2 linked regions of the Oryzias latipes genome follow. The protein of the gene in region 2 interacts with the protein of the main gene of each other region in a pairwise test. Links are inferred from orthologs where the notes say so. Each region holds a gene or a part of one and is shown on either strand. Other genes may lie near its edges.

Region 1 (2,926 bases), on a different chromosome or scaffold from region 2:
CAGCCTTAAAACATTCATATTATTGTTATAAATAAAGCTGACTTCTTTGCAGATTCCCCCTATTGTGGGTTTTTTCCCCCCCTTACTTACTTAAGCTAATTAACTGAAATTAATTAATTTGGGCGGTAGTTTAGCTCAGGCGGTAGAGCAGGTCGTCCAACAACCGAAGGGTTGGTGGATCGATTCCCGCTCTCCCCAGCCAGCTGTCGTCCCCCGAGCGAGTCTGCAGCTCACCGCTCCCCCCAGAGGGAAGAATTTCCCCATAAATAAAGTATCAATTTTATTTTTTTCTGAAATTAACGAAGGACCACTGTTGGTTTTTAAAAAATGATCATTAAGTCACATGCGTAGAAGTGTTACCTCTACATAATTACACACGTGTGGGTGAGCTTGTCCCGACATTTTAACCGATGCCCCCACTGACACATTCCACACTAACTTGTCACTTCACTTTCTGAGAGCTTTTTTTGCAATTTGCAGAGCTGCATACCCTCCTCGTCTTCATCCTCGTCTTCATCCTCGTCTTCTACTTCTCCGTCTTGACCGAACTCTTCCTCCTTAGAAGAGACAAAACCGGAGAAAGATTTCCAGAAATGCATCAGAACTGTTTGACAACATAAACCGATTGGATTTTTTTATTTTACCTCGTCTTCACCGCTGACCTCTTCGTCATCGTCTTCCCCTTCTACCTCCTCTTCATCCTCCTCGTCCTCCTCCTCCTCATCAAAGTCCTCTTCCTCTCCGTCTTCATCCTCCTCCTCTTCTCCATCTGTAAAACAACCATAAATTTTTTTAAAATACAGTTAGAAAAATATCATACATTACAAGAAAAAAAAAAAGAAAAGTGCAGACGTCCAACCTTCATCTTCATCGTCATCCACACCGTCCACCTCCCCGTCTGAATCAGAGGCTTCCCTGTCTGCTATGTCATAACCGTCCAGGTAGGTGAGCTGAGGCAGCAGCTTGAAGACGCTGTCTCTGTAGTCGTTGAGATTCGTTACTTCACAGTTGAACAGGTCCAAACTCTTCAGGTTATCCAGCTTTTTCTGTCCAACAAAAGCAAAAACATCCATGACAGTGAAACGGCAGGAGCTGCTCTAGAGATGCTGAGTCGGACTAACCAAGAGGTCCATATTTTTCAGCACTTTTAAAAACTTTGAAGGCTTTTTTAAGTCTTGTTAAGTTAAGTGTTTTCCATGATTCTGAACAGGTGGTTTCAATTGTTTCTCATTTTAAAGTTTTTTTTAACCTCACAGTTAAGATAACCTATATGCTACTTTCCTATTATTGTGTCTTTTAGATTATTCTGCATCCACCAACAGGAGGAGACAGGTTTATGATCACGTTTTTTTTATGCATTGATAGTAATGTCTACATTTTAAAATGTACCGGTACCTTTTTTTTAACTAAATAACTAGGTTAAGAATCATGGACTCAGGTATAGAATCCAAACTCAAGTAGAAGTTTAAAGTGCATTTGAAGATTTATTTAGCTATTTAGGATTTAATATTGGCAAAATCAATGGGATCCTTTCTATTGCCCCGGACTGAAAGGCAACAGTTGTAATCAGTTTTGTGACTTAAGATTGAAAAATTACGGTAGCTAATTTTTATTTAAAATAAATGAATAAATAAATAAAGGTTATTTTTCATTCAGAAAACAACATCCCTTAATTACAACGCATTAGAGTGTGGATAAGTAGATGCTATGCACAGACGCACTACAGTCTTGTTTATATAAAGGCCTTTGTCTAGGCTTAAAATTTTTAAAGCAGTTCTGAAAACTAAACCTCACTTTAAATAATAAATAAATAATCAAACAGTCCAAAATGTTTCTGAGTTTCTGCTATGTGAATGATTCTAATCGTAGATAAAGTATATCCAAGTTTTTGGGGCATTAATAATTCACAACATTGCAGGTACACTGAAAAAAAGAAAACTTTTACTTCCTAAAATATTACATCTTCACATCATTGTAATGCAGGCTTGTTGTCTAAATGCATAGGAATCAGACATATTGGGCAAACGTGTGTAACATTCTGCATCTTAGGGCACATGTGAAGACCTACCAAAGGTTCCAACGTGCTGAGGTCTTTCAATTTGTTCCCACTCAGGTTTAGATGTGTGAGGTGGGGGAGTTTCTCTGCTAAAACATCGAGGCCGCCGCTGATTCTGTTGTCGCTTAACTCCAGCTGAAAGGCAACGCAGCACATGAGCTGAATCTTCACTGAAAGGTGCAAGAGTGCGAGCGGTGTAGTCTGGGCTTACCTTTTTAAGTTTTGCTAGTTTTGGTAGGTTGGACACTGAGATTAAGCCAACGTTTATCAAACTGAGGAACTCCAGGTTGACAAACTCAGCTGTGAGCCCCTCGATTTTCCCTTCGATCGATCGACAGTTATCAAGGACGAGTTCGCGTACCTAAAAGACGTAAAAAGTAAAAAAAAACAAATTACAACTTCTTCATGCATAAATATCAGATTGTTCTGCTTTTTAAGATGCAAACATGAAAAAATAAAAAAAATTCACAGCATTCCCTTTAAGAATGCAATGTTTAGTGCAAGAAGATGGAAGACAAAAAAATTGTTTTATTTACTTAAAATCCCACCCTTATAATCTTTTGATGATGAGACCCAGTGGTCCTTTAATTATGATTGTTGTTTTTGGCCAAAAACCCCCAAAAAACCTTGTGTCGTTTTATGGGACATAGTTGCTGCAGAGCGGCAGGAAAGTCGTTAAGCCGACCCTCCTTTCCCATAATCCCTTTCTCTTTCTGCTAGCTTGCAGCCCCTCACAACCCCAACCTAACATTAGTGGTGCAACAAAAATGACGAGCAATATCGGAGCCATCCAGACTTACAGTTTTGAGCAAAATGCAATTCGGACAACAAAAACAAAGACATAAATAGATCCATTTGTCTCCAAGTGGC
Region 2 (3,755 bases):
CACTTAGCACTCAGAGTTCATGAAACATCTTTTATGCAAATGGAATAACAGGCAACAGATGCACAAACTCAATGCAACAGTAATGAACAGAAAAATAATTTGGACATCTTTCTGATATTTCGATAAATGAAATGATAAAGAGAACTTGGTAAACAAACATTCAGTTGTGCTAACTAAGGACCACTAAGATTCTTCAAGTTTAAATTTTGTTTTGTTTGGATTATGGGAAGAATTTGTGTTCTAATCAAATTATGGCACCGTGACATGAAATAATCCCCCAATTTAAGAATAAAAGGCCTTTGATTAAAGACCGCATCACACCAAGTACCAAAAAAAAAGATTGATTTGCTGAGATTAATAAAGAAAATACTACCTCAACCTGTGCCAGAAAGTTAAATATTTTCAGGTCAACTTTTTTTCTAAGCAACTACATCTTGTCTAGTTTAGGCAGCATGATGCTCTGATTGTGACACATTTTCTACTGACAGCTTTAGTCCACAGTTACCTTGATTCCCCAACTAGAAAGCGTAAACAGTGTAAGCTAGTTTAGAGCGGGGAGGGGGGGGCACCCTCAGTACACTACCTTTTATCCCTTGCATCCAGAAGAGGGGAAGAGCAATGTTATCATCCAAATAAAAGCGAAAAAGGAAATTCCTGTCAATGAGCAAAGCAACAGGCCAGAACTAAAGTGCTGCAAATGAAACTGGTTTAGTAAAAATTCTCGCTGGTTTGCTGCTGGACTGAATCCAGGATTCTATATAGTCCGTTTTCGTCTCGTCCAAGTCCGTCCAATAGTTTCAGTGCAAGGGAAGACTCCTATTTCCCATGGTTCCATGGGTTTATTCACATCACACCAGAAGGCAGGAGGCAGTTTAAACTCGATAATGGAGCCTGTGCAGGTGAAGGTATCCCAATACTGGTTAGAGGAATGATATGAGATCCAGGAGGGAATCCAAGCAGTGTGCTTTGTTACTGCCAAGTTCTAACTCCTTGGCGAAAGTCAAGTTTTTAATTTGTCCATCCGCAATTAGAGAGAAGGGAATTCAATCTCACGCTTTGAAGTCACTTTAGTGCCTTCCAGGGAGGTCCGCCGAGCCCCGTGATCCCGCCCCAGGGGCACAGTCAAACTTGTGGTCAACATGGTGCGGTCAGTCCAGTGTTCAGGTTAGATTATTCTCTGCGCGTGAAGCTGGAGTGAGAGCGTAGATCCCGTCCAGGTATGTCTTGCAAGTCCATTAATGCTTTAGACAAGTGGTGCAGCCCAAACACTTCAACCAACTCAGAAACGAAGCAGGAAACCCGCCAAGTGTGGAGGGGATCCTCCATTTGGATGAGCACGGAAAGTAATCGAAAGAGAAATGAGTGGTGTTAGAATGTGCTAGTGGGGTATACAGGAACCGGAGCGGGTCATGAAAGGTTCAAATTCTAAGAAAGTCGGCACAACACAGAAAAATAAGCAGAACCTTCACAAACTGGCTGATTATTCTTTAGAAACTGACCCATGTCCGACGTATGCAGACACGCGTGCTCTTGTTGTCTTAAATTCTTTTTTTTTTTCTCTTTTAAATAAATGCAATTATGATTAATCCCACCTCGCTAACAGCACGTTGAGGAGCGGCTGCTGGAAGCTAACACCACCCTTGATCTTGCCAGCGGGCAGAGATTGACAGAAGTGAACATAGGTGGGAATGACGGAGGAGCTCAGGAGGAGCGAAGGGTTAACATTATAGCTGGAAGCCCTCCATCGGGGCTTCACACTGCTGGAAGAGGAACTGCTGCTGCTGCAGGTCCACGGCCGGGGCCAGAGACGGGTCTTCATCTTCACTGTTGAAGTAGCGCTCAATCAGGTCAAATGCTTTCTGGTAGATTTCCTGGTTCTCGTGACCTTGGAGGAACTCCAGCTTGTCGAGGCCTAAGAGAAATAGGAAAAGGGCTGAATGAAACTGACCGTTATTTTTGTTCATTATGACTGCTTAATAACAAAAAATAAAGATCTTTGAATGTTTAAATCTAATGCAAGAAAAAAAACTATTTTAATAAGATTTTAAAAATAAATGAAACTAATCTATATCTTATTGTGCAGAGCAATAACTTTCTTTCCAAGAATATAATTCTTTCAAAAGTGTGAACATTCACCGTAGGCCTCCTCCAGGAGGGCACAGTAAGGGTTGATTCCACCACCTCTTTTGGCTTCAATTTCTCCCAGTCGCAAGATGTTTTCAAGACCATTTAGAGCCACTTGAACTATTTTGGAATCCATTAGTGTGAGCAAATCACACAGAGGTTTTATACAACCGAGTTCCACAAGAGTCCTGCAGGGGGCAGTGCACACAGACAAGGACAGGTGTTATATCACTCAGAATAAACCTCTGAGGATCAACTGTGTTTGCGCAGCATTAGTCAGGAACCAAACATGCTTACTCAGAGCTAAAGTCTGTCTAGAGGGACTTTCAGTATGAACAGCATTTAGAAGCTTTGACTTAATTTCTTTGTAAAGAGAAGAGTCGGATAGATGCAGTTTAATTAAGTATCAAGTTTTTTTACTTTTCTAATGGCATAAATTAAGCCACAATATGTTTATTAAAAATAAATAAATCTGAATCAGCTAAATACATTGTGTTGAACTGTGCGTCTTACCTAATCTGATCTCCAGAACCTCCAGAAGTGGCATTAGTAATGGCCCATGCTGCCTCCTTTCTCGTGCGAAACTCCGCCACCTGAAGGATGTGAATGAGAGGTGGCAGCAAACCTGCATCTATTACCATCTGTGAACAAATAAACCCAGTTATTAGGTACGGTACAATAAAGTTACGCAATTACTCCCCCCAAGCCAACACGCTTGTGTCATGAAAAGCAAACCTGTATCTGTGCTCGATTCCCTGCTGTGATGTTAGAGATTGTCCAGCAAGCTTCTTTTTTAATAGATTCCTTGGGGCTGCTGAGCAGGTGAAGTAGTGACTGAAGGGCTGAGCAGTTCAGAATCACCTAGACAGACACCAATTTAAAAATGAATCTAACAATTCTAACTCAAAAGGCACTTTAGCTTAGTTTGTGAAGTTATTCTTACCTGTGTCTGCAGATCATCTCCAGTGACGATGTTTCCAACGGCCCTCAGAGCAGGGGAAACCACCTTGTAATCAGAATGCCTAGAGGGGAACCATTGATAAATTTCAAAACAATGTTCACAATAAATCCAAATCTAGCATTTCAATCCATACAAGAGGGCAAAAACATGCATGAGATTCCTCAATACTGAAAACATGCTTTTTCAACCCCAAATATCTTCATTTAAAGTCTCTGTCAAAATCTTTATTGTATTTTTATCTTTTACTTACAACAGCAGTTCCACCAGTCTGCGACAAACTCCTGAGTCAATAACAGCCTGGATTTTGTCATTTGGGCCGTCAGATAAGTAGGAGAGTGCCCAGCATGCATCAGCAAGGATGTCTGTGTCATGGACAAACAGCAGCCAAGAAAGCACGTTCAAACAGGGGGACACCTATGGAGAACATGAGAACAAGAGTAGTGAGAAATAAACAAAATTAAGCATCTTATGTCGCTCCTTTTTCAGTTCAGACCCTCCAGGACCTCACAGGCATTTTTTTTATTGTTGCGGTACAAAAAGCCTGAATTTGAAGCAGTTTTGTTAAAAGTTCTGACATTTTTCAATAATTTCCAACACAAGGCTGTAAGAGGACATACACATTTTAAAATGCTGTTTTTTTTCCAGTTGCTCTAAAGTAAAAATGTATCCA

The links. The genes of interacting proteins can lie anywhere in the genome.
Region 1: the proteins of kpna1 (region 2) and anp32b interact in binary tests that used the Homo sapiens proteins (3 or more experiments, as listed by UniProt). The link is inferred for Oryzias latipes from reciprocal best matches to the Homo sapiens genes KPNA1 and ANP32B.

What each region holds. Positions count from the first base shown.
Region 1 is NC_019859.2:16,898,528-16,901,453, forward strand, and holds part of anp32b (acidic leucine-rich nuclear phosphoprotein 32 family member B), read right to left. Parts: intron 2,418-2,926; coding exon 2,268-2,417; intron 2,192-2,267; coding exon 2,069-2,191; intron 1,047-2,068; coding exon 860-1,046; intron 770-859; coding exon 645-769; intron 558-644; coding exon 491-557; intron 1-490. UniProt on the Homo sapiens protein: Multifunctional protein that is involved in the regulation of many processes including cell proliferation, apoptosis, cell cycle progression or transcription.
Region 2 is NC_019878.2:17,885,114-17,888,868, forward strand, and holds the end of kpna1 (importin subunit alpha-5), read right to left. Parts: intron 3,500-3,755; coding exon 3,336-3,499; intron 3,147-3,335; coding exon 3,068-3,146; intron 2,986-3,067; coding exon 2,860-2,985; intron 2,766-2,859; coding exon 2,638-2,765; intron 2,313-2,637; coding exon 2,137-2,312; intron 1,913-2,136; coding exon 1,725-1,912; 3' UTR 19-1,724; downstream 1-18. UniProt on the Homo sapiens protein: Functions in nuclear protein import as an adapter protein for nuclear receptor KPNB1. Binds specifically and directly to substrates containing either a simple or bipartite NLS motif.